2 linked regions of the Arabidopsis thaliana genome follow. The protein of the gene in region 1 interacts with the protein of each later gene in a pairwise test. Each region holds a gene or a part of one and is shown in the gene's direction. Other genes may lie near its edges.

The links.
Region 2: the proteins of CHR5 (region 1) and AT3G21810 interact in a two-hybrid assay, tested with the Arabidopsis thaliana proteins (one large-scale study listed by BioGRID).

Annotation. Positions count from the first base shown.
Region 1 is NC_003071.7:5,553,516-5,558,070, reverse strand, and holds the start of CHR5 (chromatin remodeling 5), read left to right. Parts: upstream 1-1,510; 5' UTR 1,511-1,866; exon of another isoform or gene 1,867-2,272; intron 2,273-2,444; 5' UTR 2,445-2,527; coding exon 2,528-3,272; intron 3,273-3,427; coding exon 3,428-3,495; intron 3,496-3,714; coding exon 3,715-4,134; intron 4,135-4,507; coding exon 4,508-4,555. UniProt on the Arabidopsis thaliana protein: DNA-binding helicase that specifically binds to the promoter of target genes, leading to chromatin remodeling, possibly by promoting deposition of histone H3.3. Probable chromatin remodeling factor.
Region 2 is NC_003074.8:7,682,359-7,689,165, forward strand, and holds AT3G21810 (Zinc finger C-x8-C-x5-C-x3-H type family protein), read left to right. Parts: upstream 1-1,997; 5' UTR 1,998-2,222; intron 2,223-2,374; 5' UTR 2,375-2,493; coding exon 2,494-2,626; exon of another isoform or gene 2,627-3,754; coding exon of another isoform or gene 3,755-3,815; coding exon 3,816-3,959; intron 3,960-4,082; coding exon 4,083-4,116; intron 4,117-4,222; coding exon 4,223-4,364; intron 4,365-4,499; coding exon 4,500-4,556; intron 4,557-4,632; coding exon 4,633-4,730; intron 4,731-4,861; coding exon 4,862-4,933; intron 4,934-5,015; coding exon 5,016-5,242; intron 5,243-5,326; coding exon 5,327-5,526; intron 5,527-5,688; coding exon 5,689-5,826; intron 5,827-5,933; coding exon 5,934-6,002; 3' UTR 6,003-6,258; downstream 6,259-6,807. Other genes in the region: histone-lysine N-methyltransferase ATXR2, read right to left, coding at 6,271-6,387, 6,473-6,529, 6,648-6,724.

The DNA of each region.
Region 1 (4,555 bases):
AACTTAACATTGATATAATTATGGTAAAATAGAGAACAATGAATTATGTTTGACAAGATCTTCCTTTTCAAATTATTTAATTTAATCTTTGCATATTTAGACTTGCAGCAACTGTCAACAAGTCGGACACAACAAACGTTCATGCAAGCGTAAAGCAGTGCCAAAACCACCCAAGAAACCTCAAGGACGACCAAGGAAAAAACAGAAAACAATGGATGAAGAGAACCCTATCACTCAACCAATACAATCTTCTCTTCAAAGTTAATGCTTGACAAGTCTTTACTTTAGAATATCTTGTCCCTCTGAAACGATTGTTTTTTTTTGTGACAAATATTGTTGTGTTGCAACAGCTTCGATAGTTATGTTGGTTGGATTTATTTAAGCATGACTCTTTGGATTATTTTAAGTTGTTGTGTCTTTCTTTCAGCTTCTAAAATCCAAACTAATTAAGCAATTCAAAATCATTTAGAACACTAAACGTTTTTTTTGTAATAAATTCAAAACAGTTTTAAAGAACATCATGTGGTTTTTGCGCTAAATACAAATGTCTCGTTGTTGTTTTTTTTGGAAATTAATATCCCATTAATATTTAATACTGTGGGGTTAAGTTTATTAACAGGTTTTAGTTCAGGGTTTGTTTTACTAAAAACATAGTTTAGGGTTTAAAAATGGATCTGGCCAAAGTTGAGGGTTTTTTTCATTAAATTCCCAATGATGTTTACTAAACTAACTAAAACAAGTAATAACAAATAAACTTTAATCACTATCTTCTGATCTCATTGATGACACGTCACTATCAATATCTTCTAATTCTTCTTTATTATCTCGAAGGAATTCTGGTTGCTTATATCCGGCTCTGGTCCAATCATAAGACATGCTTGAGCTTCAGGAGAATCTGGGTTCATTCTTGATCGAGTTTCATCTAGTATTTGACCTCCAATGCCAAAAGCTCGCTCGCTCTTCCATCCATGAATGATTTGAAAGTATTACCTGCATCTGCATCACTAAACTCAAAATTTGTAGATAAATAATTTTCAAAGAGCTTTTGGACTAACATAGATATGCCATGAGTTGTCCATAATAAACTGAAACATGTAGTGAAGAACCCTAATCTTGATCACTTTGGATGCTTCTTCATCAAAAAGAATTAGTGATCCTTGTAAACTATAAAATAAAAATATCATTAATACAATTTACAAACTTTTATATATATTACATAATTATAAAATTTTAAAATCCACTAATTTTAGAAAACATATTATCCTGTAATATATCGCTGATCAATTCCTAGTTGTTTATAATTTTTGGTGTGATCATATATATTTTCAGTTGGTATATGTCACCATGCAACCTAATTTGTTTCTTTCAAATAATTATATTCTAATTCATATAGTTTTATCTTTTTGTGGTCTGGAAATTCAAAAGTTTAACCCTAACCCTAAGTAAAATATCTCATGCCTACCCTTAAAAAAATAAAAAATAAGCAGCAGTCCATAATTCCATTATAGAGAAAACCAAAACCAAAACCACAATCTCATCAACCAAATATTATTAATCGTCCGATAACCCAATCTCTCTTTTCTCCAAACGCTTTTTTTTTTCTCTCACTTCAAAATCTCCCCGAGACCTCTCGCCTTCTCTCGCAGCCGACGATCCCATCCAAAACCAACGCTCTCCGGTGATCGTCTTTCCTTTACCTCGCCGACCTTCTCCGTCTTCTCAATTACGATCTATCATCACCAGAATCCGTTTTCTCTCTTTTAACTCCGATACAAAACTTCCGATAATCCCAAATAAACGTTACGAATTTCAGACTCTTTTTTCCAGTTTCTGTTTGAATTCGATTTCGAAGGATTAGATTCTCCGGTGAGATTTTTAGAAGCGTGTTTGATTTTTCAAATCAAAGTTTGTCAAAACTCTTAGCGTGAATTTTCTCCAGAGTTTATCATCTCTTATGTGACTGTGTTTTAATAGCTTCTTCTCTATAGCTCTTCCTTTGTGCTTCTTCTCTGGGAAACTTCTCTATTCGTATACCTAATTCTAGGGTTCGTTTATCCTAACAATTCGAGATTTAGAGGGCTTTAGGATTCGATTTCGTGTTTTAATCGTGTGGATCTGCTTTCAATTCGTTTATCGTTTCGTTCCACTGAATTGAGTTTGTTGATTGCTTAGACTTTTATCCTCGTCTTGTTGTTTGCTCAATTGAAGAGCAGAGTAGCTTCCGTTAGATCTGCTTTGTTGTGGCATTGATGGAGAGGAGAAATCAATTCATGTTACGTGCTCCTGGAATTCTGGAATAATCTTAATTTTCAGTTGAAACAATGCTTTGCTTCTCTTATTTTCCTGTTAATCAATAACTAAGTGTGAAGTGTGGTTTTTATCGAATTTTTTTAGTATCATTTTGATGCAGGTTATTAACTCATTCGTCTTCTTCTTTTTCTTAGTTCTACTGAGACGTTAGAAGAATTGTGGCTGTTGTCGACTGCAAGGAGAGCGCTTACTTTAATTGCTGATTTCATGAGACGAGATGGCTTTCTTTAGGAACTACTCAAACGATACTGTGTCACATAATGTTCTTGATGAAAATGAGGAGCGGCAAAATGCTGCTACTTTTCAGAGTTCACCTTTGAATGAAGATGTGGATGGTACTTATAGTGAAAGAGGCTTTGACATGAACATGGACGTACAGTATCAAAGTGACCCAGAACCAGGATGTAGTATTAGGCAGCCAAATGAGACAGCAGTTGATAATGTAGCTGATCCTGTGGATTCCCATTATCAATCTTCGACAAAGAGATTGGGTGTAACTGGTAGATGGGGTTCCACATTTTGGAAAGATTGTCAGCCAATGGGACAAAGAGAGGGTTCTGATCCTGCCAAAGATTCACAATCCGGTTACAAAGAAGCATATCATAGTGAAGATAATCACTCAAATGACCGGAGTGAAAAGTTAGATTCTGAAAATGAAAATGATAATGAAAATGAGGAGGAGGATAATGAAATGAACAAGCATCAAAGTGGTCAAGCTGATGTCCCAGCAGATGAAATGTTGTCTGATGAATATTATGAACAAGATGAAGATAATCAAAGCGACCATGTGCACTACAAAGGGTATAGTAATCCTACAAATTCTAGATCACTGCCAAAGGCAGGATCTGCTGTCCATAGCAACTCAAGGACTTCAAGAGCAATTCACAAAAACATTCACTATAGTGATAGTAATCATGACCACAATGGGGATGCTGATATGGACTATGAAGAGGAGGAAGATGGTAAACTCTTTTAATTTGGATTCCTAAATAGATTTGACTCTGTTGTTTGTTTGTACGCAGTACTAGAACTTACGTCTATGTTTTTTCCTCTGAATACTTCCCACGTCAAGTGCTTGGTTTGAACTTCAGTAACATTTGATCTTATTTCTCATCAGAGGATGACCCTGAAGATGCTGACTTTGAGCCCTATGATGCTGCTGATGATGGTGGTGCAAGTAAAAAGGTTTGACTTCTTACAATTCTTGTGTTGGGATACATGTTCATCACAATGAAGCTAAAACTGAACAAAAGAAGGGAGATACTTTCTGAACCATTTCTTAACTAAGTTTGCTATTCGGAAGGATCTTCATTTATAGTTAACATGTTGTGTTCTAGCTTGTTACTTGTTATAGTTTTGATGGGATTTCTTACATGTTACAACTGTGTGGTTGTTTGATTTTAGCATGGCCAAGGTTGGGACGTTTCTGATGAAGACCCTGAGAGTGATGAAGAAATTGATCTTTCCGATTACGAGGACGACTACGGAACAAAAAAGCCCAAGGTTAGGCAACAAAGTAAAGGTTTCCGGAAATCAAGCGCTGGACTCGAACGAAAATCATTCCATGTTTCTAGTCGACAAAAGAGGAAAACATCATATCAAGATGACGACTCAGAGGAAGACTCTGAAAATGACAATGATGAGGGTTTTAGAAGCCTGGCCAGAAGAGGCACAACTCTCCGACAAAACAATGGAAGGTCCACCAATACCATAGGACAGAGTAGTGAAGTTCGCAGCTCCACCCGATCAGTTCGTAAAGTCTCTTATGTAGAGAGTGAAGACAGTGAAGATATAGATGATGGGAAAAATCGTAAAAACCAAAAGGTATGATATCTTGTTACATTTTTTAAGGTTATACATTTTTACACCCTCAACTTGCTTATGTTATCGTGTGGGAATCTAATACATTTGATAGAGACTGGCAGTAGTTTCATGAGCCTTCTCTAAAGCGGTCTAAATAACTCATTGCTATAGTTATAATCTGCACGTCGTACATATTATCTTTCTGTTGGAAACATGTTAAATTTGGAGAACTTACGGTCTTTTGATTTGATTAACTCCAACTATTTGACCTAGAGCAGCCATTAATTTCAACTACTTGGCCTAGAATGAAAGCAATTTCTTTAGAAGCCTTGCCCAGCTACTTAATGAACTTTTTTGTTATGTTATTCCCTTTTATCTGATATATGCTCGTTAGGATGACATTGAAGAGGAGGATGCTGATGTTATTGAAAAAGTGCTCTGG
Region 2 (6,807 bases), on another chromosome or scaffold:
GTTTATGGTGATGAAACGAATATTTCGTGGACTAGAGTTTCAGATCTGGGCTCTTCACCCAGAATTTGAAGAAACAACCCTTGGCTGTCTGAGTAAATCCTTTTTCGCCCACTATAATGAAAGTTTTTGTTTTGGTGTTCCCTTTGAATTGCCTATGATGATAAAAACAATTATCTTAGCGGATTTCAGTGAGGTTTTTTTAAAATCAATGATCTGAATTGTTACACACACTGAGGCTTTATTAGTTTGATTTGTTTTTGTTTATTGGGGAAATTTGGTTTGCGATGATGATAAAATAGCACGAAGGTGCGTGAAGGGCAGTGGACAAAGCAATGAAAATTTGTTTTGCCGTGAGCTCTCTTTAATAAACGACTTCTCCTTCCACTGAGCATTTTTTAGATCTTCCCTAAATCTTTGTGTTTGTTATTATTGTTGTTAATAATGAATGGCGTCTTTTACCAATTCTGAAGGATTAAATATGGTTCCTTTAGGTATAATGGCATTGACGCAATATTGATTGTGGTATATCCTGATCATTTGGCTTTTTTTTCTATGTTATTTGATCCTGGAAATGCCTCACACATTTGTTCTATCTTCTTTTTCATTATTTACGAATTGGGTTTCCTCTGAATTTACGATGAGGTTTGTTGGTTGAATATAAAGTTGTTGGAGCGAGATGGATTGTTTGGAGTGCAATGATGTTTTCTTTTCTCAGATTTGGTTTTTCTAACTGAAATTGATGATTGTTCTGTTTTATTATTCGATTAAGACCGTCTCCAATATTAATCCCTATTTTTTCGTTGGAGATGCTCTTGCTTCTTCCTGTTTTAGTTGTCAAAAGTCTTATGATTGTTAATCATTTGATTAAAGACATTCGCATACAATTCTGTTATCAATAATGAGAAGGAAAATGTGATGATTTAACATACGGAACAATTATGGTTGCTGTCATTACTTATACGAGTTCGATGTTGAGAATTGTTGGTGGATAATTTGTGTTGCCTTCTTGATTTCCTGCGTTGAAACAAAAAGGTTGCCACATTTTGCTGGATGAAGAATTGTTGGTTCTGTGTGATGTTGTTTATGTGATCTTCAGGTGTGATCTTACATGAGAGACTAAAAAGAGAGCAACGGGTTTGGTTTGAGTTTGTTTAGGTCAAACCATCAGAGAGACATTACGAGATATCGTATCATACCCTTGGGCCAATTCTGCAATATGCGTTGGAGTTTTGTTAATCTTGATCATACCTTTCATATGCCTATTATCGGCTTTATTGACTTAGTTGTATCACTTGGTCCTATACTCCTTGTTCCCTTTCTCTGATAAGTCTATGACTTCGCTGTTATGATCATTGCGTTTGGTTTTTGTCGTCCCTGTTTGTAAATTTGCCAAGATTGAAAATGTAATTTCGAAGAACCAAAATTGTATCACAAGGCAAATATTTTATATACTTCTAACTCTCCCAAAATATCGAGCATTATCTTAATATCTTTACTATGTCAACTTTTGGCAAAACTTTATTAGAAATCTGAAAATAAAACTCACAAGATTAATTATTTTTCAGAAAAGAGAAACTAATATATAGGACTTACCTATATTAATTGTTTAGAGATATTCATACTCCATTTACTTGAACTTTTTTATTAAGTGTTCAGATTATGTTCCATCTCTTGTATTTTATTGCTTTTTTCTCTACACATAAGAACCTTTCAGTTTCCATTTATGAAGATTTATAAAATGGTACAGATACTTTAGTAAAATGTTGTATCATTATATGGAGAGATGTACAAATTTATATAGAGATAATATTCAGTAATTTAATTTAGACAGATCATACAAATGTTAATAACAAAAAAGAAAAAGAAAAAAGACAAAACTGGAATAGAATTAGAGAACTAAATACCTCTAATTAAACCGGATTTGATGGTAGTATACAAAACCAAAATCTTGACATTTTGTTAATCCTTCGAATACATAAGGGCAAAATAGTAAAATACCAGCTCTGTTTTTACTTATTTTCTTTCTTAAAAGAAATATATAAATACGAAGGATCGATCCTTAAATTGTTTCAGCTTTCTTTTTGTTTTCATTTTCCGGTAATATCATTTTCGTCCGACTTGTTTTCTCCTCCTTGCCGTTAAGTTCCATTGAAGAAGAAGAAGAAGAAGGTGTGATTCAACGATAAACCTAGCGAGAAAACGAACCGCATAAAATCGCCATTGTAGGTTTTCGATTTTCTCAGTCTTACATAGCTCGAAATTGATGTATAACTGGTTTTTATTCATGCTCGATTCTAGAGATTTTTAGAAAATCCTATTCCAGTGAGAATCTAGAGATTTCCATTTTGAAGCGTTTCTTCTGTTTCGTATGTAGGAACGAGACGGTGGTGTTAATCTATGGTTATGGAGGTTTGCTTGACTTTTTGAGGTTGGCTTGACTTTTGAAGTTTTGATCTGAAGAAAAGAGGTTTCGTTGTAATTGGTTTATACATCATGTCTGGGTCGAGTATGTATAAGACGAAGCTTTGTATTCTGTTCAATAAGACTGGTGATTGTTCGAGGCCGAATTGTACTTTTGCTCATGGAAATGCTGAGCTTCGTCGTCCTGGCGAATCTTCTTTTACAGGTAATGTTTTCGTTTATGCATTTGAATAGGCTATTTATTCTGGTTTAAGTTTGTTAATGGTGGAAGGATTGATGAATTTATGAGTGCTTCTTTTTATTAGAGTAAAATAGAAAAGTTTTTATTTAATTAAGTCTCTTTTGCTTAGACTTTGCAAGATTTTTATATTATACTTTGATGATTCTGTGAAGTATTTTTCTTCTGAAGTTTTGTGGTTCAATGCATTTGCTTTGTGAGTATTATTCCATATTTTATGAGATTGTGTAAAACGTTTCAGCCTACAGTGTTCTGTTTGATAAACACATGGTAATGGTATCAGTATTATACTTTGCTTTGGATTTGGTTTTCTCCATATCAACTTTTACTGACTAGTTTTGTCCTGCGGAATCATTCTGGAATATGCAGAAAGATAGCTACTCACAGGCTTAGTATTATTTTTTATCCGGGAATGGAATCTACTGGTCTTTCTGGCTGCAATTTATATTGGTTTTCTTATTGGAGTGGAATCTGCTGGGTTTTTTTGTGGTGAAATTTATCTTGGTTTTCTTATTGCTCTTGAAAGCACATTCTTTATGAAGAAAATCTATCATGGGTTTTGCGGGGTACTTATTCTTCGACAACTATGGTTTTCAGACTCCCGAGATTTGGTTGCAAGCAATGCTTGTTATTAGGATTTATCAATGCCTGTTGTTATTACTTCTGGCATTTTCATACTTCCAGTTATGTATGTGGAGCACGTGGTATTTTCTGTGATTATTTATATCTTCAATGGTCTTTCAAGCGGTTTCTTGGATCAAGAAATATGCAGTTTATGGGGGTTTGATTGTCAGTATATCAAATTTGGTGGATTTTGATTGTGTAATTAAATGGAACTTCAAGATTGGTTCTTATTTTCTCTCGTCCAACATAATCTGAAGCCTTCTCAACCTATGATTTATCAATGAGATTCAGTGACTCCACTTATTTAGTACCCAATTGTGGTTTCTTTCCAACTGCTGGTAAGAAGAGGACATTATATTGTGGTCTCTTTGAACTGGGAAGTAATCACCATTACGTTTTTCTTTATGTTACTAGTAGTTTTCTGTGATCTTATCCAAGTGTTGTTGACTGGCATGATTCTGATTGTTTGAAATGGAGTTCACATCTGTAGCACAAGTATGCTTTACTGCAAAGTCTGTTTCGTCTACTGCAGGAAGACGTCACAATATGGATAGTGACTTAAGAGATAGACGTCACAATATGGATAGTGACTTAAGAGATAGACTTGGTAGACAGTTTTCTCCAGAGCGGAGACCTTCCTTAGACAGAAGTGGAAGACGGGTACAAAGGTTTAGTGGTAAGATCTACAGCTTTGGGTTTATGGAGTTCTGTTGTCGATTAGGCAGAGTCAAAAGTCTCTGTCAACTGTTTGTTCTGTATTTCTTTCTTTTCTTATTACCGACGGAATTCAAATTTGCAGGACATGACAATTCTATGCCATTTGAGAATCGAAGGTATCTTCTCCCCTCGGTTTTGCTTATGCTCATGCTATGTGAAATTTCAGTGGTAATTTGATGGCCATGCTTTAACAATGCGGCTTTATATTTCTTATTATCACAGAGATAAAGACTACAGGGAGAACCGTAGATTTGATGAACGACGTGATTATGCTGGTGGTTTGAAAGTTGGGAATAGGATTGAAGACAGGGCAGAAGATGGAAGAAATAAGTTTCATGGTTACAATAATGTTCTGGAAGAGCAGGTTCGAAACTTTCATTTTCTTGGTTGGGTGTTAGTTGAGGACGTGATTTCGCTTTATCTTAATCTAATGTTTAGTGGATGTAAACATTTGTAAAGATGTTGCTAAAGGACCCAAGTCCAATTTGTCTATATGCAGTTAAAAGATGTAGAGATGGATGTTAAGATGCTAACTGATGACAAACTACGATTGGAGGTAAATTTCTCCATTCCACAATTGATTTGATTGCATCGTAAATACGAGTTAATTGACAAATTTCTTTTGTCCAAAGGCGTCCGTTGAAAGGAAGGCACATGAAGTAGACATTCTTACTTCTAGGATCCAGGAGCTTGAGACCCAGTTGGATAGAGAGAAAGATGAATGTAGGAGGTAATGACTAATTCCTTTTTGATGTTTGCTTGAAATTAATTATGATGCGATATACTTGAAGAAACTTTATTTGGCAAATCTGGGACTTGATCTTCTGGTGACAAGTATTGTTCAATCCTTTTGTGTGTCAGGATTACTTCAAGCTCGAAGAAATTTGTGAAAGAATATAACCGTTTCTTGCGGGCACAAGATGATCTAAAGAGGCAAGGCATTTATCTCTATTTCTAATTGCTTCTTATTTAAGAATGCAAAAATTCATTCAATAACACAATGCCAAACCTATAGGTCAGAAGCCCGTCTTCAGAAATTGGGAAACCAACTTAGTACGTATCTTGCTGGAAGTGAAGGCAATAATAGGGATGTAGGCCTGGATATTGTGAGCGATGAAGAGACTAATGGTCGGAATTTGAGAACTGCTTGTGATCCACATAACGAGTTGCAGAATACTTCTTCACTGTCCAGGAAAAAGCATTATGTGGATCAATATACTACGAAAGAACCTGTTGAAGATGGTAAACTTATCTATACTATTAGATTTATGTCTAAACTAAAAATCAGTTCATACACACGTTATGAACCTTCTCCATCTGTTTTAGGCTTGATAGGGAGAGGTGAAGAAGAGAAGGTGGAGAATGAGAAGAAGAGACCACCTTGTTGGAATATGCTTTCTTCAAAATCATATTCTGAAGAAGAAAGTGGAGCGTGGAACGATGAAGACACAATTAACAGGTCCTCGTCAAAGGAAGACAATTGGAAAAGAAGAAGGTTCTCTATTGGCACCTCAGCTACCGATAAGGTACATCATCTTTCTTCTTCTGCAGAAATGGTGTTCACTTGAAGCAGATCGACGTTGGGGATCATGTTAATTCTTAGTGCTTTTGATGATCTTTCACGTTGTAGATGTGTTTTTGTTAAAAGCCGAGATAATAGACTTGGTTACATGGTTACGGTGCTTCAGGTTATATTGTCTACGAGTATGGCAGCTCGGGAATTTGATGATGTTGCAGAATCTGAGGAAGAGAATCCCGAAGCAGCCAACGGCTCTCCTCTCATATCTCTTCCTCCACCCCCACCTTTCAGAGATGCCCATGTTCAGGTAAGCACGAGTAGATTCTCGAAAACTTATGTTGGTAAACTAAATTTGCCAAAAAGTAAGTACTCGGAGATGATGATCCTCACGAATCTCGTGTGCTTTGTGTTCAGAGAGACGAGGATGATGTAAACGGTGATGTGATGGAACAGAAGAAAGCCTATGACGATGATTCCGTCTGATCAAGACTTTGAACATTAAAAAGTAGCCTGTTTGTTAGGTGCAATATTGACGACCATGATTAGAATCGGTACATGCTTTGTTCATCATCTTTAGATATATATTGAAAAAGAACTAAAGCTTGATCTTCAAACGAAGATGTCCTTTTATTGTTTCAATGTTGCGTAGAGAAACTAACGCCATACTCTTTATTTCAGTAGTGATTTCCAGTGTAATCACTATATAGGCAAAATTGAAAATTTCTGTTCTTTTGAAAACAAAAATTATGCTTCAAATTGATGAAGAATCTTCAAGACACTTAGAGCACTTGCAGCTGAAACCATAGTCTGCAAGTAATGCTTGTCTCTCTTTGTATGGAAGCTCCTCGTCGATATATGAAATCGTCACCTGTTGTTTTACATATGGAACTCAAAAGCAAGCTCTCTTTTCCAAAATATTCAATTGCTATTACGATTAAAGAGAAGATGCGTACCTCTTCGTTCTTGCTGATGCGTCTTAATGCAATTATCACTGCTTGTCCGTCTCTGTCCTGCAAAACCCACAAGACAAACGAGTTACACTTGGATTCAGTCTGAAAGTGTTGATGAAAAATCTTCGATCCTTAAGATTTGTAGGCCATAAAGAGGACGAAGATGTAAGAAGGATACCTCTTCTCTTTTGAAGGCTTTTGCATTAGGGCAACAAGAATGGTTCATACAGCTTTGCAGAGGGAAGAAGGCCGTTCCTAAACACAAATACAGATGATGTAATAATGTCAAATCTTGGTTACAAGTTACATAACTCCTCTGTTTTATGGTTACAATGTTC